Linked DNA regions of Caenorhabditis elegans. The protein of the gene in region 1 interacts with the protein of each later gene in a biochemical or structural test. Each region holds a gene or a part of one and is shown on either strand. Other genes may lie near its edges. The genes, in order: goa-1, ags-3, rgs-1 and rgs-7.

Region 1 (6,699 bases):
AGGAAAGTGTATGAGATATTCTCTTTTTTTTGGCAAATGAACAGAAAAAGTGAAAGTTTATCACATAGTGGGAGGAGGAGGGAAAAGCTGATGGAAAATGAACACAATTGTGTGACAAAAAGGACACATTTTTAGATGATTGTTGTAAAATTTAATGAAACTTGACATTTGGAAGGTTTTTCGCTTTAGTAACACTCACTTCCGGGTCATTTATCTTGAGAAAATCATTATCTGAAGACTATTTTTGGGGTTTCCCACTTTTGATGTTATAACAATAGGTTTTGATTTTTTTAAATCTTGGTAATGATGGGGAAATTGTTTTAAACCATGCTAATAATTCAAAATAACAATTAAATTTTAAATTCGCGCGCGAGGTTTAAACTTCTTGGTGGTTATTCAAAAAGGAGTTCAGGGAAATTTAAATTTTATCGAGTTTTAAAAATATTGGTTTTTTATCTAGACATATGTACGGTAGTCCCATATGCAATTTCCCATGCAAACTAAATCACTGTACTTTTGTATCCACCAAACTGAATTTGTACGAAAACTAGTTGAGGATGTCGTTTATATCAAATAAGATATCAATGAGTGGGTGCAGTCGACAATAAACCAATGCGGAAAATATCGTCTACTGCACACCATCGTGCTCACCGACAAAAAGCGAGACGATTTTAAAGAAAAAAGATGGAAAAATGAAAAAGTAAAAGAAAAAATAGGGAGAGGAAAACAGCGAGAAAAATGAGTTTGGAAGTGTGGTTTTAGGAAAAGGAGGGAAAATGGATGAGAGGGGAAGAGTAGAAATAGAAAAATACCAAAAATTAAAAATAAAATCTTTAAACATAGACAAAAGCTGCCATTATTTAACTGTTAACAGTGACTAGGTGTGTTGAAAAATGGGAGAAAAGAAAGAAAAAAGGGGCAAAGCTTTATAATTCGGGGTGAAGAGACCTTTAGGGGGTGTGTGGCGGAACGGGACGAATTCCAACTGAATTTAGATTTTTAAAGTTTTCTTGTTTTCAAATAGCGATAAGGCTACACGGGAGTGAGAAGGGCGGGGGATGTGGCGTGAATAATGACAATATATAATAAATAAGAAAAAAGGAAAAAATAAATAATTGTGAGTTTTATGTGTTATTTTTGTGACAGAAAAATTAGGGATCCTAGTTGAGAAAAAGAAGGGCGGTGAGACTATTATGAATGAATCAGAGGTTAAAAAAAAGCCCATATACATCTGAAATTGCAACTTTTTCCAAAAAATAAAAACAGTTGCAACCATAATGTACATGTAAAGCTCTCAAATTATAGATGCATACTCGGGGGATGAGAAAAATAACGAATCTTTAAAAATTTGGGAAAAGTAAGCAAAGATACACACAGAATGGTAGAAGAGGGCGGCGAAGACGACAGCTTAATACAAGCCGCATCCACGAAGATTATTGGCAATAATCACATCGGTGACAGCGTCAAACACAAATTGAATGTTAGTTGTGTCTGTGGCACATGTCATGTGGCAATAGATTTCCTGCAAATAAGAATATTATTTCAAAAGAAAACAAATTAAATGAAATAATGAATTAAAATTATTACCTCAACACTCAACTTTAACTACCTATTCAAATATGAAACTACAGTAACCGCAATATCGGAGAAAATGTCGAGATAGTAAAAATCTCAAATTTTGGTTGTAATTACTTAATTGAATACGATTCAGAGATTTTTCTGGTTATCATTTTCTGTGACAGATTAACAAAACAATTGAATATTCGTGTTTACTTAAAAAAAATTAAATTTTATAAATGTTTCACACTTCAAAAAATTTCCAAAATTAACTAGATATTAAAAATTATAAAAAATATTATTCTAGAAAAACAATTTATACTTTTCGTGGAACAGGAACCCCATAGGCTTCTCTGATTTCATTGATTTTTAGACTTTTTTTTCTTACCTTATTCGCTGATTTGTTTTTAGCCTCAAATTGTGCTTGAATATACGCAGATGCCTCGTGGTAGTCTTGTCGTCCTACAGGGATTAAGAAATTAAAACATTTATTGGAAATTCAATTAAATTTTACCTGAATATTCTGGGAAGCAGATCGTTAACGGGCTTTTCTTGATTTTCTCTTCAAACAGATCCTTCTTGTTCAGGAACAGAATAATCGATGTATCTGTGAACCATTTGTTATTACAGATCGAATCGAACAGCTTCAGCGATTCGTGCATTCGGTTCTGAAAATATGAAATAAGGAACAATAATGAATAATAATGAATAATGAATAATAGAATGAATAATAGAATATAATTTAAAAAAACGAGTAATTTTTAAATTATCATGTTTCTTTTATTTTGGCAAATATATTGTCGGTCAGAAGTTGCATTTTCGTTAGAAAAATTAGAAGAAGAACATTATTTTTATTATTGTAAAAGTCGACTCGAACGACCAAGTCATGATTGGAAAATCGTTTAAAAAACATAAAGTCTCTAAACGATATTTTCTAATTTTAAATTTTGTCTGTCTTTTTCAACAAAAAAGCTTCTAAAATATTAAAATATCAATTTCTCACTGTTGTCTCATCTTCGTGCAACACTTGATCATACTCTGACATGGCAACACAGAAAATAATAGCAGTAACATCTTCGAAACAATGAATCCACTTCTTCCTTTCTGATCTTTGACCTCCCACATCGAACAATCTGTAAATATTCATTATTAAATATTATTTTTTTATCAAGAAAACTCACTTGAAATTGAGATTTTTGAATGTGAAGTGAACTTCAACAATACCAGTTGTTTTGACACGAGTTCGGAGAATATCTTGCTCAGTTGGTTGATATATTGCCTCTCCTAACCTTTCCAGGTCGTCAAGGAAACTGAAAAAATGGTTATTAATAAATTCTATAAACTGCGAAATTTCTTGAAATTTTAAATTTGGTAATATTGAAAATGAGCTTGACATGTAACATATTGATTCGAAATTTAGGAAACTCTTCTCAATTTATGAAAAAAACCACTTTGGTTGTTATGGAGATAATAGTTACTTGAAATAATTTTTCAAAATTTTGAATTAAACTTACTATTTGGCTGAATCATTCAATTGATACTCGTTACTCCTTGAGAAACAATCCTGTACACCTGCGTCTCCCCACAACCGTTTCATTGAACTGAGCAATTCTTCTGAGAATGGCTCTGTGTCCTCCATTCGTGCCACCACATCCATCACTAATTTTGCATCTACCTGAAACAAAAAACTTTGATTTTAGTTCTCGATAACTTTATTCGCTGATGAAAATTGAATAATTCACAGCATGTCATGTACATCATTTTCCCAATTTTCTCACAAAATTGAAATTGGATCCTTGGCTCTCTTCCAATGGTTTGTCCAAAGGTCTCAAAATGGTCATTTTATTTCAATTATCTCAAATTACTTTATATTCGGTGACATGCATAGTCACGTCTTGTTAAGATTAAGGATATATATAAAATTGAATGATAAATGTTCGATCTTCACATCAAAAACTTTTTTACGTTTTCGACACGACAAATTTTTGTTGAATGCTAAAATATGTTTATATTTATTCTTACGATTTGTTAAAGTTAATTCGTAAATATTTGATTGTTATTTATTAATTTTTAAAATAAATGAATACGTTTTTATTGAATAACTATGAAAAATCGATTAAAAATTTGGCTGCAACGAAAATTAAACATTACAGTACTCTTTAAAGGCGCACACCTTCTTGCATTGAACACAAATTCATCGTATAAAAACCGGGAATTGCATTTGTGACGCAATAACAAAACATTTGACGTCTGAATGATGTAAAATCTTCTCCAAAACGTTGGGAACATTTTTTTCTGATGATTTGCCACATCAATCGAAAATGTGTTCCCAAAGATTTTCCAACATTCTAGAATCCCTTCCAAATCCCAATTCAAAATTCCTGCCTCGAACATATATTTTTGGAATACTAGGTCGAGTCTACGAGTTTGTCGGTGGCGCGTCGCGCATCGAAACTCACAAGGGAATTGGAATGGGACGGTGGTGTGGTAGCGGGATGCATTGAGTGCAACGAGAGGCAATAAGAGTTGCAGAATGTAAGAGAGAGAGAGAGAAAAAGATACCGAGCCAATGAATACAACAGATTATGTCATTTATTCTCATGCTCTTCGTTTTTCGTATCTTTTTATTCGTTATTTTCCAAATATTTCGAATTACTCTTCAGAACACGGGAAACATTTTTAATTGAATAATGTTTATGTTCTATCTATAGATCACAATCGCAAGTAAATTTCAGAAAAATAAGTTTTATTTTGAAGTAACGTTTTTGTCGTGCTAATCATTAGCAGCTAATGGACCGAAATTAATTTTTTCCATTAAGGGATCACTTGAAAATTTCGTGCCTCATTTTTAAATAATTTCGATTTTTTTGCAGAAAAATTGTCATAATACTCACCTCTCTGTCAGCCGAACCAAATGAAACGCCTAAGTTGCTCATGGCTCGCAAAATAGCGACCAATGATTGAACCGTGTTACTGTAGACAACCGGCTTGTACTGTTTGTAGTCTTCTGCTGTGAATCCCGATTCGTGAATAATTCTGAAAAAAAAACATTAAAATGTGAAAATTTGTAAAGGCGTGTTTCAAATTTAAACTATTAGAGAGTTGAACTTACTTTTCAAATTTTGAATACGAAAAAAAAATTAATAGCAGTCTCTAGTGATTTATTTACTTTTTAATTAAATTTAATTTTTAATAATTCAAATCGATCAAACGAAATATTCGGACGTTCTATGGGACAATTTCGGATGATAAATTCTGAGTTTTTCACCATTTATTTCTACCATTTTCGTTTATATATGTTTTAATTTGTTATTTAGAAATTTAAAAAAATCTCACTTCATCTGTTTTACAATAGTCGATTTTCCTGATTCTCCTGCACCAAGTAGCAGCAGTTTGATATCTTTTGCCGCTTGCATGCCGTCTTCTTTAAGATTTTTCTCAATCATTCGTGATCTTTCAAGAGCGGCACGCTCTTCCTGTGACATGGTACAACCCATGGCGCTAGAGTTGATGAACGGTGGACCCTATGCCCCGGTAGCGGTCTCCACTTGATATCCTCTACTCACTCACTGTATGTGGTGCAGCTCAGCGCTGAAAATAAATTGAAAAAATTAGAATCGAAGTAAGTTATAGCGGGTTAAAAAATAAGGAAAAGAAAAAGCAATCGAGCGAAAAAAAGGGACACAGTGAGATGGAGAATGAAGAAATGGATGGATGAGGGATCGAGGGCAGAATATAGATGAGATGAGAGGAGATGACAAAAATGACGAATGAGGAAAATAGAGGGTGCACGTCGTCAAGGCGACTAATTTTTATTGAATTTTCTTACTTTTTCATTAATTTATTTTAGTGGTAGAAATATGCAACCTACAATACTCTAAACAGGGCCTTTCTAATTTTTGCGCAAACATTTTTTCAAATCAGACGTTCTCTCAGATTTCTTTGGAGCAGCGTCAGTGGGGAAATTGTTAAAACGTTTGCATGTTCGAATCCCTGCAATGTTTGAGTACTAAATTCGAAGGTGAAATTTTTCTTGATCTACGACAGAAAAATGTACTAACTGTTAAACTTGCAGATGAACTAAATTAGTTATATTTCAAGAATGATCAGAGATTGTTCATTCAGTTTTCTATTTTAGAATCAATTGGTTTAATCTGAAATCGAAATGAAAATCAGCTAATCGAGGATAAACATGTTTTGCAAAATCAACCAAAAAGAAATTTTACTACATGCTTCCGGCCGGGTCAACGTTCTCCACAAAAAGGTTAGAAAATAGATAATTTGTAAAGAACAGAAGCAAAAAAATAGACGACAACGTCTTCGATTTTTCCGTTTTCACTGCTTCTGCTTCTTCTCTTTCTTCGTTGTCGTCGTCGTCCTTCTTTTTCTTTTTTTTTTGCGTGGCGCAAAAAAATGGGGGAGCAACTGCGACGACGACGGCGAGCAGGATGGTGGGGTTGGAGAAGGAAAATAGAGAGAAAAGCGAGGGCGAGGAGAAGAAGAAGGTCATGGGCATAGCAGAAAAGGGGTAGTAGTAGCCAGGGGCAGCCAGTAGCCGAAACAGGAGAGCCCCATCGTTCAGGGGGCAGCGACAGTGAAGACGAGGGTCGGCGGCTACTTGCGTTGCGTGTCGATTCGAATTTTAAATCATGATGAGGATCAGAACCATGCAGATATTCTAGTAGTCGGAGTTATCTGATCACAGGCGGCGTTTGAGTTAAAATCTTAAAATATTGCATAAAAACTTAAATTGTCTGACAGCCTTAATAGCGACTTTATGATGCCGAAAACTACTATTTAAAATTTAAGTTTCAATCGACGAACAGCGCCGTAGACTAGGTCTCCGTGAACCAAAAGCTATAGGAACATAAAGCCTTTTTCCATGTGCCTAATTGTTTTATTTTCATAATAAATGCATAGACAGCACTGGCAGCGATACACAAGGAGACATGTTGAGTGCCGTACACCGGAGACCACAGCTGGACCCTCTTACAGATTTTCCAGTCGAAGAACGGAGACGAGGGGACACGAATAATAAACAATGAGTGAAAGTATGAAAGGGAAAATCAAGAAAAGATAAAAATAGTGGATTACGCAGAAATAAAACCTTAACTTGAAATATTTTACTATTAGTTTGGAATT
Region 2 (4,646 bases), on another chromosome or scaffold:
TCAGAAAAACTGAAAAAGCCCGGCAAATGAGCTCAGATTTTTTTCTTTATTTTTTTTGATTTTTTTTTGAAATTTGTATTTTGCCTGATTTTACATATTTCAAAACATTGAAGGTAAAAAAACAGCTCACTTGAAACTTTAGAGCTGTAAACTTTATAAGCTGATAAGATGGATATTTCCGATCATTCTTGTTAGTTTCTAACACATTTACATTGCTAATATATTTTTAAAGCAATTTTTGAGCAAAGCTTTTGGCCTGTATCGGTATTGCTTTTAAGCTCTGGTTTGACTCATTGTCAAAAAAATTGAATATAAGGCTCATATTTTTACTACAAGTACGATAAAGTCTGCTTCAATCATAATTAAGTAGAAAACAATAAATTTACAAGCTTTTTGCTAAATAACGAGCGCTATGCAAGTGCAGATAGAAATTTGCGGAAAATTGTCCGTTTTTCATATAAACGTAAGTAAGGGAGTTCTTTAGCGTAAATTATAAAAATAAAAAATAAAATAAAATGAATTTAGTATAAAAATAAAACATAAATTTTGGCATTTTTCAAAATAGCCAATCGTTTTCAGACAAATGCAACTTGCATTACAATTACGCGGAGAGAAAACCCGATATGCAGATTTTGCAATTGAAAAACAACAAGAACGGCAGAAGGTTGGTTCTTTGGGAATTCCATTTTTTTATCTCAAAATCAAAAATAGACCGAGTGAAATATTTTCCTTTTTCTTTATCTCCGACGTAATTTTTTTTTGCTCTCCTGACAAAAAATGAAAGAAGAAGTACAGAAATAGCGAGTGCAATTTTTTTGTTCTCGAGTGTGCGGCTTCTTCCTTCTTACTGCGTTTTTTTGGCGCAGCGAGCATCAAAAATCAGAAATTCTTTTCTGTTTAGGTCCTGAACATCGAAGCCAGAATCAACCGAATGAAAATCAATTTGACGGAGGCTCAAGCGGTCGCTGACACATTGGATGAACAGGCGTTAATGGAAAAATTAGAGGTTACTAGACTTATTTTTCTCGTCTTCTCCTATCTAATGACGACAGAGGGTTTCTTAGGACGAAGTTGCGACGAACACTTACTTAGTGAATGGCAAGTTGTTTCAAGAAATTGAATCAAAGGAAAACAAGTTGAAAGAGCTGACAGCCATGGCAAGGTCCAATTCAGTGCGGGAAGAGGATGTCAGTAGAATGAATTCTGAGGTAAGCTTAAAGATACCAGGCTTAAAGATCTCTGCAGATTTAACTTTGGGGAATTTTATGATAAATGTGCAGCCGACAGTATATATGCAACACTGACCTCACGTTTTAATTAAATTACCATTAAAAAAGGAATTAATGCTATTGGAGCACGGCTACTACACAGATACGTTGCCCGAAATACAAAATTTCGAAAGCAAGTTGTTAGCGAAAATTAAAAGTTTTAGCGGGAACTTCAAATTTTCTGGGAAAAAAATTTGGCGAAAAATTTAAGTATTCCGAAAAATTTTTTCGCGGAAATTAAAATTTTCTCGGGAATTTTTTTCTGTGGGATTTTCAAATTTTCTAGGAAAACAAACTTGGCAATAAAGTTTTTCTGAAAAAAATTTTGATAGGAAATTCAAATTTTTTGTAAACAAAAATTAGCGGGAATAAAAACTACATTGATGTTAAAAAACTGCTAGAATGATTTTGCTATTTTTGAAAATGTATACCAAATTTAACAAAAAAAAACATCCAAAATAAAATTGTCGCCCAGCTTAAACGTGGCTGCACTTTTCACTTATTTCCAAGGTGATTACAAAATTAAATGATGTAATTACAGAAAAAAGTTGTATGTTTTAAGAGTTAAAAGCTATTCAAAAGCTTTTTTCAAACGTGGGCAAAAACAAATAACAGAGCCAAAGAGCGAAACAATGGCTTCAGACGTCAGAGAGACGAAAAAATTTTCCAATTTTCGTCTGACCAAAAATATGTTAATTGTTTACTCCCAAGTCATCTTAAACATGGCTGATCAAAGCATGAAAGAGTTATTTTTAAATTCATCATTCAGATAGAGGAAATGTCAAAACGAATTCGAAAACTAGAAGACGAACGGGATCACAAAGAAGTGGATATTGATGAGAACATGAGGTAAGTGCATGCTCATTTTGGTCTAGATGTTTTAAAATTGTGCTTGCTGAAAATTTCAAATTTGTTGTTGTGTTCTTTGTGCAAAAAATATGAAATCTGGTCTGGTTGCTAATGAACAAGGAAAGGCAAATCTAAAAGCGGACAGTGGCATCACTCGGTTTAAAAACATGTGGATGATGATGGTTGCTGCTAAGAGACACAATCTGCGTATTCTTCTATGAGTGTTAGATATTTATTTAGAAAAGAAAATGAATTTGTAAGGGATGCTTCGACAAAAAACTTTAAATTTTTTTATCATTATTAAAAATAATGAAAGTAGTGTATCTTTATTGCGGATTTCGTCTTAAGACACATAATTAACATGACCGAATATGAGCATAATACTCTCAAAACTAAAAAAAAGATTTTTAAAAATTTTCTGAATTATAACTAAAATTTGAAAACTGTGGAACAAATTTTTGTTGACTTTCATTATTAGGACGGAGTTTTTACCATTTTTTGACTGCTCGGAAAATTGTCCTTTTTAGAATACTTCCACTATGATATTTGGTAATTTTAAATTTATTTGGGTAATGTTTAAACAAATACCCACTGACGGTAATCCCTCTTTAATACGCTCAATATAGATCCAAGGTATTTAACTTCCTAGTTTTTTGTCACTTGTTTTTTTTTAACTCGGCATTTCTAGAGCATTTCAAGCAAAACCAGGTGATGAACTTAAAACTTGTGAAATTGCGTTTATCGTATTTTTCCTATACGTAAAACATTAGAATATCTTTTTTTATATTTTCCCAAAACTGACCTTTTTTCAAAAAAACATATGAGGTGTTTTCAGTGTGTTTCGTCATCAAACTTCCCTTCTCGAACGCAAAAAAGAAACAGCGGTGCAGAAATTGCAAGAATTGAGGTAAGTGAGTGTAGATGGGCTTCTTCTCTTTTCGGCTTTTTTTTTCCAAAACGTCCTATTTATTCCACTGGGAGTAGGAAATTGAAAATGGGAAAAAGCGAGAAAAGTGATGGGATTTCAACATTTGATTGACCCCATTTCTCAATTTCCTCAAAAAAAAGATTAGCGAAACCACTTTATTCTTAGAAAGTTTGCAAAAAACTGCAAGAGTTGAGGAAATTAGAAGCTACCGTATTTGCGACCAAATGGACGTGACTTTCAGGCAAGAACTTGCGAAAATTGAGAAAGATGTCGATGAGCGTAAAACCAATCTCAAAGACAAAGTGGGCGGGGAAGTTGTGTCAAATGTTCAGGTGAGGCGAAATAATTTGTAACAGTATAATACTATTTTTTCAGTACCGAAAATATTTAGAGCAATACCGTGTGAAAAGTGAAGAACAAAAAAAGAAAAGGAAGGAAATTGAGTTGATGCATACCGAGGTGGCAGTGCTTAAAAGAACAATTGACATTGTTTCCAAAAGATACAATAAATTGGAAACGCACATTGTGAGTTGCGTGATTGTTGAGTTGAATGTTGAATAGAAAAAAAAACGCGAAACGGCAAAAATATATTTTGGAATTCTTGAAGTTTTTAGTGATCTTTTTCCAGATAGCTGTTTAATAATGAAAAAAAAACTATTTGTGCATTATCAACATCAAACTTTTAAATGTATCAGATACCTCTGCTAACATATGGCAGTTTATGTAATCTCTCACTGAATTATAATAGCAAAATTTCATTCAAATGTATTTGTAGTTACGGCAATCGCTGTTTGATATTACCCAATTGTCGATTGCCAAGCATTTTTTGATTAAAAATGCTGATTGTCAAAAATTAGAATTGCCGAAACTGTGATGATTTTCTACAGTGCTGCGTATGGTAACATATTTACAAACGCTTAACGATACTGATAGAAATAATCACCATTTTTAATTTATTAAATACGTTAACTGCATAAAATTTGAACTTATAATTTTAATTACTTTCCTATACCTCCTGGAATCAGAGAACAAATTCGACCAAGCTCCGCGAATCATTTTTTTCACCATTGTTGCAGAGAGAATAAACAGTAATTCACTTTTTTGCAAACTACTTCCAGCAAGATCAAGTGGTAGGATCAAAGCAGAAAAAACGTGTGTCATATGTATTTACTCACACCTTTTTCTAAACTACTTTGCTACACGAAATTGACACACCTCTCCTATTTCAACAGACAAAACATGTAACAGTTTAATATCATATTTCAAAGTTTACTAATCCAAATTATTTTTATCCTGCGTTCCCGATTTTGCAAGATTTCTGTGGTTTATGTGTCTATCTAATCTTATTTCCAGGAAAGTATTGGCGGAGAAATAGTAGAAGTTTTGAATGTTCCAACGAAATACGATCGTCCGAAAACTGCAGCTCCGCAAACAAATAATGCAGAGGTAAGATAGGGGGGTTTTTTTTTGAAGAAACTGACTAAACTCTTGGTTCAACTTTAATCCAAAAATGTCTCTAAGGTACTATTTTTATTTTTTATGTAATTGACTGAGACATCAAAGTTTTCAAAGTGAGTTTGGAGAATAAGAGAACATGCAAA
Region 3 (4,210 bases), on another chromosome or scaffold:
TATTTCCCACTATTTTCAAGAGTTTTCAAAACTATGTCATGACGTATATCGAATTACTCGCCCGATTTTGTCGAGCCACCAAGAGAGAGAGAGACTTAATCGAATTTGAACATTCGATTTCATGAATTTTCAACGTTTGTTATGAAGTCATATTTTGTTTTTTTCATAGAGTTGTGAATTAGATTAGAATGCTAGAAAGTGAAAAAAAAGTTATGTTGAGAATCAGAGCCAAATATATTTCAATTTCCTGTAAAAATACAATAACACTTCTCAGTACACTGCAAAATCCAACTTCGCCCATATGTTTAAACTGTTATTAGAAATATTTCTCATTCATAATGTAAGATTTGTTCAAGCTTATATTCATAGAAGCTTCCAGTTTACAAACTTCTGCTAAAATCTGGAAAATAGGGGCCTATACAGACTAAAAGCCTGGGCGGCAATTGGAAAAAAAATATCCGGCAAGTACCAAAATGATCGATTGCCAGATATTTTGGCATTTTTCAAAAACCGATCTGCTTTTAAAAAAAATATCAAAAAATAGTTCACTTTGTTTTTCAGTATTTGGAAAATGTTTTTTTTTAATCAAGAGGAAACCTTTGAAGTTTCATCCAGTTTGATTTCAAAATTCGTTTTTTTTTTCGGAGGCTTTTTCTGGGAGAGAGAAGTAAAATACAAAATTTGCTTTTTAATTATAAAGCATAATGTAACTTTGCGCACTGGTTCACCAAAAATTCATGCAAAAAGTACATTAAAAACGTACATAGAAGATTTCAGTTCAGTTATACATTAGAAATACTTATAGAAATACTTTCTCAAAAAGTGTGAACTTTTTGGAATCAAGTCTCAATACACCTACAATAGCCCAAAACGACCGTGTAAAGCAATCCAAAAATGTTAGGTTTTTCAAAATTTTGGCAACTTGCTAAACTTACCAAAAATTCACTTTTGAATGATTTTGAGACCACTTGAACGTTTAAATATGAACATAAAACGCGTAATTTTTTTTGACAATTTTAAAAAGTATAATATGTAGGTGAAAATTGCATTAGATCCTTAAATCCAAATTTTAAATTTTGAATTTAAAAAAGTTTTACTATGCTATTGCAAAACTTGAGCACTTTAGCAGAACCTTTAAACTAAAAATTGTAAGAACTGGAATTCAATTTGCAAGAAAATATGCTCAGAATCATTTTCAACTGTCTTTCGTGGCATAGCTATGCTCTCAATTTTCTAGAAATATTTCCCAATTGGTTCTCATTATCGACGTCTAATTACAAAACCTTGAAACCTTAAGACGCCTTTCCCCTCTTCATTGTCATTTGTTTGAAGCCGTCCTTCTCTTCTTTTTTCTTCCTTTTGTTCTCTTCTATGTCTGTGTGTGTGCTTTTACGTTGTTGCTCCTCGTGCGCACTCACACTCTCCTCACGAGTCCCCTCCACTCACACACATATTCATCTCTCTCTCTCTCTCTCACGTTTTCTCTTCCATCTCTCACCGTATTCCACATCGTCACGTCGCGACGTCGTCGTAGACGTCGACGTCTTATATATTTCTTCCTCTCCCTATTTCGAATCGATTCGCCTCTTCATCTCATCGTTGCTCTTGCTTCTTCCATTTCTTTTTTTTTTTAATTTTATTCATCTTCCTCTCATCCCCCCTATTTCATTTCGTTTCACTTTTCCCTTATACTTTCACCCCTTTCTTCTTTAAAAAAACCGAATTGTTCCTTGTTTCCGGCTGCGACGTGTTGCCGCCAGCCCATGGGATATATGGGTTGCTGGTGCTCAAATCTCGGACGAAAATACAGTGGAACTGTCTCCCCACAAAGATCCGTCCAACCAGAAGCTCTCAGCTACGAAATGGTATATTCATGGCAACAATCATTCGACACACTGATGAGCTTCAAGTCTGGCCAGAAATGTTTTGCCGAATTTTTAAAAAGTGAGTATTCGGATGAGAACATCTTATTTTGGCAAGCCTGTGAAGAGCTGAAACGGGAAAAGAATTCTGAAAAAATGGAAGAAAAAGCACGTATCATCTATGAAGATTTCATCTCAATATTATCACCAAAAGAAGTTTCACTGGATTCAAAAGTTCGAGAAATTGTCAACACTAACATGTCCCGTCCAACACAGAATACATTCGAAGATGCTCAACATCAAATCTATCAGCTGATGGCAAGAGACAGTTATCCAAGATTCCTTACCTCCATTTTCTACAGGGAAACTCTAGCTTCTTTTGGAATAACTGAAATGGATATTGGTAACGTTTTTTAATTGTTAAAAAAATTAAAATTAAAGAATAATTTCAGGAGGAGACGAAGAGAAGGAACGAGAGCAAAGAGCGGAACGTGCACGTTTGAATGTTCCAGCTACAGCTGCAGAAGGAAGTTCAAAGGATATTAGTATGGTGAGTTTATAAAATTGTTTAAAACTGCTAAAATGCCCAAAAACCATAATAAAACTTTTCAAAAATTTTTTTTTCAATTTACAGCCAAAAGTTGTGAAAACACGGTCTGTTGTCATAATTTTAGAATTCGACCGAAAAAAGTTATTTCCTACGAATTTGATACGTATATTAATTTTGTTACAATTATTTGCAGTTAAGTCGAAGCTGCAGCAGTGCTCTAAATTACTTGAAAAACTGACACATTTTTGAAATTCTTTGGCAATTCACCAAAACTTCTATGGAAATATTTAAAAAATCTAAAAGTGTTTGGAATGGTTTATCAGTTTTTATATTCAGTCATTTTGGACACTGGCGAATTAAAATCCAGCGAAATTATATACACAATTTTAATTATAGGGTTTTCATTTTGAAAAAAACTGATACTGTAGACTAACATTAGCTAAAAAAACGAAAAGATCCAATTGAAAACTTTTCAAATTTTCTAAAAACTTTTGTTTAAAAAAGTGGAGTACATCTACATATTTTAGAAATTTGGAAGAAAAGAGTTAGTAATATTTTTTAGCTTAAAATTTGATGTTATTACTTTTTAAAATTTTGGCAAGACCTAATGAGATCTACAAAATTCAAGTAATAATTTCCATTTTATATTTTCAAAAGGAGTACGGTAGTTAGAATCTTCTGTCTCAAGCGAAGGATGTAATTTCTCCGCGGAGCAATCATAAAATCAATTTCAATCTATTAAATCACGGCGACTTACATCTGATTTCAGGTATAAAAATCTTCCTGCATCTACCCTCAATTATACATTAAACGGTGAGTAGGGTTTTTCTGAAGATTTTTGATGATTTCGTTTTTTTTTTCAGATACTCCAAAGAATCTCTATCAGCAAAATAGCAGATTGGAAACATGTAGTTATAAAAAAGGTATCAAATTGATTGAAAATATGTAAACGATTTTTTAAATATTCAGATCAGTGCAGCTTTAATTTTTTTTTTAAATCAAATTCATATGTGTAACTAATATGCAAAAGTACTTGTTTCTCCAAAAAAAACAAAAGTAAAAGTAAAAAGCAAACGGACAACTGAAAAATTGAAATGTTAGATTTTCAGTTTTTAGGGGGAAAATAGGCTTTTAAAAAAGTATTTTCAGATTTCTACCGCCGTAATAGCAGTTCAATATTTTATGCAAAAATTTATCCAAATCGCCAGAACTTCTTCCTCCAACTCATTCAATTCAACTTGTGATAAACTAACTTTGATCTCCGATGCTGCTTATTGCATTTGCCAATCTTAGATCTATTTTGATCAGTGTCATTCATTTTATGATTTGCAATTTCAGAGACTTTTTCTCTTATCCTACTATATTCTCAATCATCATCTGAACCTTTGTGATATTACTTTCAAGACATTCTATTTTTTCTTCTTTAATTCTCTGTTCAAATCAACACCCACCACATCCCTTTCACCCCCGTGACCATTCTTTTGTGAAATTGTCTTGAAATCTAGATGTCGGCTAGAGAAGGCATCTGTTATTTGTACTTTATCTTCCAGCCACTCAACATTTCTTCCGATCAAACCTATGTTTAAATTGTTCCCCCCATCATTGTCTCTTCTCTCCTTTCACTCGAATATATTGAACTTTTTTCTCGTAGATTTATTTCCGAGGGATATGTCGCTGTATAAACTGGTTTTTTTAAAACAATTTTCAACTTTTCTAGATTTGAAATTATTTATAGAATGGTTGGAGACAATAGTGTATGCGACTTTTATGTTAAAAAACCGGTATCTATATGTACATA
Region 4 (4,830 bases), on another chromosome or scaffold:
GCGATTCCGCAGACTGGAGCACGTCTTCTGCAAGAAATATAAATTGATAGAGAAATTTGTGTAGTAGGTTTAAAAAATTTGAATTGTAAACTCACATCAGAGCTTCGAGACCTTTGGTTTTGGTTCTTACAGTATACGTCATAATAAACAGGATTAGTTACTGAAGGAAAAACGGTTGTAAGATTGATAGAAATACAAACGAGAACTGTTCCCAAAGGCAAAACTCTGGGATGGCTCTAAAGGGGCGGAGTTAGGAGCATGACAGAGACGAGAGGAGAGAGTATCAATGCACATTCTCAGCACATTGCAAATGACACGTGTTCGCTAAGTACAGAAAAGATGAGCTAATTAGGGAGTGAAAACAATTTTGTTTGGACAGTATCCTGCTGACAACCGTCAATTTCAGTAGGGGGATTATAGCTGGAAGGTAGAGCGTGTGACGAGATGGGGTGAAAAGACAGGAAAGTGCAATTGGACACTAATGGGTGGATAATGTTTAATAGGCTATTTTCCAATTAAGGTTTGTGAGTGTGTGTGGTTTCAAAAATAAACTTTGAGAGAATTTGAGACGACTTTTTGCGTAACTGAGATAGTTGCTCTCTTCACTCGGCATATTATAATAGATTTGATTTGAGAAGAAATAGCATGAAATACATTTTCCAGTGCAAAATCTTCAATAGGGAATTTTGAAAATTACTTATATAGTATGAAAAATATCAAACACCAAGGTAAATTTAAAAAAAAATTATGTGGCAATTACAAATTTGTCAACTTCTCCTAGCAAATACAAATGTTCTCTGAGCGTTTTTGTGAAATATTTGTATTATATTCCAATAGTTTAAGGTTTCGCACATGCAGAATTGCTCAAAAGGCCTTAATATTTCAAAAAAGTTGGCCAACTGCAAAACGTTTCCCTAAAAAATTTGATATTTTTATGAACGTTTTAGAGTATTTATGATGTTTGGTTATAAAACTATTCACAACATTTTAAAGTTACATATATATGCCGGATTATCAAAATTCTGAATTATTGTTACGTAGTTTTTCACTTTAAGCACTACAAAACACTGTTTTGCTTATCAACCTGGAAGTCTCTAGGCAGCGTCGAGTCTAGGCGTCATCTGGTGATGATGATGTACAAATTATTATAACACACATCAATGCAGAGCATCAAATGTGATACGCAACAAGTTTTTGCGCAAGTTTTAGTGCCCCTGACGTTCCAGCAGCCACGGGGGTAGAGGGCTATTCGTGGCGTTGCGCAACTGAAAATCAAACCACGGTAACTCGACATCCAACGTAATTTGCAATTATGCGAACATACTCAAAACTATACATATTACTGGGGAAATGTCGGATGGGCAAAGTAAAAATTTTGTAAGAGAAATTTTAGAAACATTTAATTATTAGTATAAAAATTCAAAACTCATAGTATCAGAAAATGACAGAGATATCGGTGACCAATTAGAATGTTAAGAACAGAAACTAAAACAGAAACCTCTAAATCATAAAACGTCTACAGAAAATACAGGATATTTTGGTTTTCTTCGATTGGTCACATTAACGGAACGGTTGTCGTAAATCTTGTGGAAATTATAGAGGGACTCGTTTAATAATCACCTATGCTATTGTAGCCTTTAACAATCGATCGATTGCCGGAAATCCAAAACTTGTGCGTTCATGACATTGTATACACGCCAAACAAGAAAAACTTTGAGAGAAGTTCAATTGATTCACTTGAAAAGGCGCGGATATTTTTAAGCAAACATTTGACGACGAAAATGGGCATTTAAGTGGATGAATCAGGTCAGTGATACCGACTCAAATACTACTACGCGTTTCTGTCATTTCAAATGTGAAAATAAATGTTCTTATTGGGCGCAAAAATTTAATTTTTTTTTGCATATTTGAAGAAAAGTGTCTAAGGGTACTTTCTACATTCTTCACAAAATCAATGTTGTTAATTTTTGCTTCTTTTGATCATTCGAACCAGATTTGATATAATTGAGAATGTTCGGATTGTCAAATCACTATTGTCCTTTCTTTCTTCCTTTCTAACTCTAGTATTTTACGGTCAGCGTAACAGAGCAGCCGACTGGGATGGGGCAATGCGTTCGTTCGTACACCAGAGGCTAACCAGTATGTAGTGTGCATGGTCAACACATACATGCCTCGTTTGTTTGAACCGAGGTGTACAATAGAGCGCATTTAATTGAACTGTCTCCCATTAGGAAAAAATCAGCAATTGGACTAATCAAACTTGTACTAATGCAACTTTTAAAATTGATGAATTAAATAAAAATTTCAGAGGATGAAAATTTGAAAAGAATCTTCTATGGTCTATTAGTTTTGGTAGTTTTCGATTTCGAGGAATTTTAGATTTAAAAGGGAAATTAAAAAATTACTCAAAAAATACACTTTCTGAGAACGACCAAATATGAACTGGGATCCGGGCAAAGCAACAGTATACTGAACTATGAAGCAAAAACCTATCAAGCGAAAAATAAATAAAATAGTTCTGAAAAGTGACAGAAACCAATTGTGCGGAAATTTGTGAAACGTATTCGAAATTCGTTTGAGAAAATTTTTAGGATAGCAAACTTGTCACGTTTTTTGAAACTTTTCTCTCGTGATTTTAAAATACGTTTTATAATTTTCAGCACATTTTTTCAAAAGTATCTAATATCAACTTTTGAAAACATTTAAAAGAACTCACCTTCCCCACAGCATCTCGTCAGTTGTAGCTTCCGAAGGTCCAGTGGATTCAGTCGTGTCCTGATAGCTTTCCGACTCGGAGCCTGAGAAGTCGTCGTCGTCCGACACTGACGATACTGGAAAAAATCAGATATATAGTCATAATAACAATAGCAAACATCTGGAGCATTCAGGTTTGCAACAAAGCAACTTACTCGATGATTGATCGTCATACTCGTCTGCATCCTCGTCTGACATCTTGTCAATGCTGTACTGCTGGACTCCGGCCGTTTTATATTTGTGTAGATTGAGCTTGATTCTTCGATTTTGACTTTCCATCTGAGTGAAACTATACTAATTGGAACAGCAATAGAAGGAGAATTGAGAGAGAAAAATGATTCATAAACGGCAACGAAGGAGAAAACGTTGTGTCATTTTAGGCTAGGGTTATACGGCTCAGCATAGAAACTAATCCATCTTATGTTATTGATTGACTGAAACACTATTTTATGTATGAGGAAATTTTACTTGTTCCGAAAAAGAATAAAAACAAACAATTTATTCTAAAACACTAAGAACTATAATACTTCAATTTTGTAGATTTCAAATGAAGTTAGCTATAAAAAACTTAATAGAAAAGTACCGTCTTTAAAAAAAGTTGAGTTAAATTTATCAAAATGTATGGCCTTTAACAGAAAAAAGAATTAATTACGAGAAAGTGCAAAATATGGATAACCAAATTAATTTTAAATAAATTTACCAGCCGTTGGAAAAGAGAAAACTTCGAAAAGCCCCAAGATTTTAGTCAGGAAATCATAGCTTTTTTTGAAATTCAGAACAATAAATTGTTTTCTAGTTTTAAAAAATATTATAAAATCGAATGTACTCTTTTAATGAAACAAAAAATATCCGGAACAAAAAACCATTTCCGAAAGAAATCCATGTAGTAAGGCAGAACTAAATAGCAAATGACCCGCAAGTTTATGAGATCAAATACAAGTGAAGGTGAAGGAAAGGAAGTTACAAGGAGTAGTTGACAAAATTTATGGTGCGAACAACCGCTACTCCGTTTGTCGGTGTCGATAGGTGGTTGCGTAATATTTAGGTTACAAATCGAAACCATAAAATCTTTACTGACAACATCTAGAGTTTACATTCTTAGAGACAGAAAAAATAGAAAAAAAAAGACTGAACTTATAACATTCGACTCACTGCCAGATGGTTTCAATGAAAAATATGGCCGAAAGTTTTAGATTTTTTGGTGATTTAGTGGTTGGGAAAAACGCAGAACTTTGCAGACGGAATATAAGTAATTTTGTATGATAATCTAATTGTCTAGGCTTACTGATAAGGAACCATTATGTTTTTTACTTGTAGATAATATGTGATTAATACTGTGCCAGATAACGTTCTACAGAACTACTTGTTTAGCGCATTCCCTAACCTAGACACCCAGTGAAACGTGACTAATAAGTTTTCAACTCTCGATTACTAGTTTTTCTGGCCTTGATCAGATGACGGAAATCCAATTATGGAAAATCAATAGTCCGTAAATAAACACACCTTAATGATAAGTAAATTTTACTAGTGACTCACTTGCAGATGAGGTCAATTTTATAACGAACAAAATTACATACGAAAAAACTAGTTTGAAACCTTGAAAAGCTAAGAAATTAGATAAAATAGCTTTTCAAATTTGAATGATGAGCGTTCCCGCCGGTGAACAATTCAAACGTGAGTAGAGAGAAGAGACACAGAACGGCGAGTGTTCGTCTGTGTCTTCCTTCTTTCCTGGCTGTCTCCTCTGACCGGCAATTGAGGAGAGGGGACCCATTTAGCGTTTGTATGTGTGTATGTGCGTCTTTCCCCCCTCAACACCTGCCATCGTGACCCACGATCGCGGACGCGATATTTATGGCCTTGGCAAATAGCTTGGAGACTTTCCTTTACTGTTGATTCAACTTTATTGATACTTCTTCAATTGTCTGACACCATCAGTCAAATTTAAGACAAATGAAAGACTGTTCAGGCAACTAAGCTACGATGAGCATTATTGAAAAAAAAAACAAATTGAAAATCAAGAAAGGGGATGTGGCCTAGTGACATGATATGGATAATTGTCAACAGAGCAACAGA

Evidence for each region.
Region 2: the proteins of goa-1 (region 1) and ags-3 form a complex in vitro, tested with the Caenorhabditis elegans proteins (one study listed by BioGRID).
Region 3: of the proteins of goa-1 (region 1) and rgs-1, one has a biochemical effect on the other in vitro, tested with the Caenorhabditis elegans proteins (one study listed by BioGRID).
Region 4: of the proteins of goa-1 (region 1) and rgs-7, one has a biochemical effect on the other in vitro, tested with the Caenorhabditis elegans proteins (2 studies listed by BioGRID).

The regions. Positions count from the first base shown.
Region 1 is NC_003279.8:7,520,565-7,527,263, reverse strand, and holds goa-1 (Guanine nucleotide-binding protein G(o) subunit alpha), read right to left. Parts: upstream 5,149-6,699; 5' UTR 5,055-5,148; coding exon 4,894-5,054; intron 4,594-4,893; coding exon 4,452-4,593; intron 3,233-4,451; coding exon 3,072-3,232; intron 2,868-3,071; coding exon 2,739-2,867; intron 2,691-2,738; coding exon 2,561-2,690; intron 2,226-2,560; coding exon 2,072-2,225; intron 2,020-2,071; coding exon 1,946-2,019; intron 1,523-1,945; coding exon 1,409-1,522; 3' UTR 552-1,408; downstream 1-551. UniProt on the Caenorhabditis elegans protein: Guanine nucleotide-binding proteins (G proteins) are involved as modulators or transducers in various transmembrane signaling systems. In the 1-cell embryo, probably together with gpa-16, controls nuclear rotation and spindle elongation during mitosis.
Region 2 is NC_003284.9:5,300,555-5,305,200, forward strand, and holds the start of ags-3 (Tetratricopeptide repeat protein 28), read right to left. Parts: upstream 3,047-4,646; 5' UTR 3,025-3,046; coding exon of another isoform or gene 2,953-3,024; 5' UTR 2,920-2,952; intron 2,118-2,919; coding exon of another isoform or gene 2,038-2,117; intron 1,237-2,037; exon of another isoform or gene 1,216-1,236; intron 1,209-1,215; coding exon of another isoform or gene 1,065-1,208; intron 1,007-1,064; coding exon of another isoform or gene 902-1,006; intron 665-901; coding exon of another isoform or gene 580-664; intron 1-579. Other genes in the region: ift-81 (Intraflagellar transport protein 81 homolog), read left to right, coding at 580-664, 902-1,006, 1,065-1,208, 2,038-2,117, 2,953-3,024, 3,287-3,377, 3,421-3,570, 4,399-4,491.
Region 3 is NC_003281.10:10,014,088-10,018,297, reverse strand, and holds rgs-1 (RGS domain-containing protein), read left to right. Parts: upstream 1-1,763; coding exon 1,764-2,265; intron 2,266-2,314; coding exon 2,315-2,412; intron 2,413-3,181; coding exon of another isoform or gene 3,182-3,187; exon of another isoform or gene 3,188-3,225; intron 3,226-3,275; exon of another isoform or gene 3,276-3,335; intron 3,336-3,561; coding exon 3,562-3,705; downstream 3,706-4,210. UniProt on the Caenorhabditis elegans protein: Inhibits G protein signaling in nervous system, interacting preferentially with the G(O) subfamily member goa-1. In vitro, protein acts as a GTPase activator of goa-1.
Region 4 is NC_003284.9:3,540,753-3,545,582, reverse strand, and holds the start of rgs-7 (C2 domain-containing protein), read right to left. Parts: upstream 3,036-4,830; 5' UTR 2,953-3,035; coding exon 2,910-2,952; intron 2,832-2,909; coding exon 2,717-2,831; intron 178-2,716; exon of another isoform or gene 143-177; coding exon of another isoform or gene 96-142; intron 28-95; coding exon 1-27. UniProt on the Caenorhabditis elegans protein: Inhibits signal transduction by increasing the GTPase activity of G protein alpha subunit egl-30 (G-alpha(q)), thereby driving it into its inactive GDP-bound form.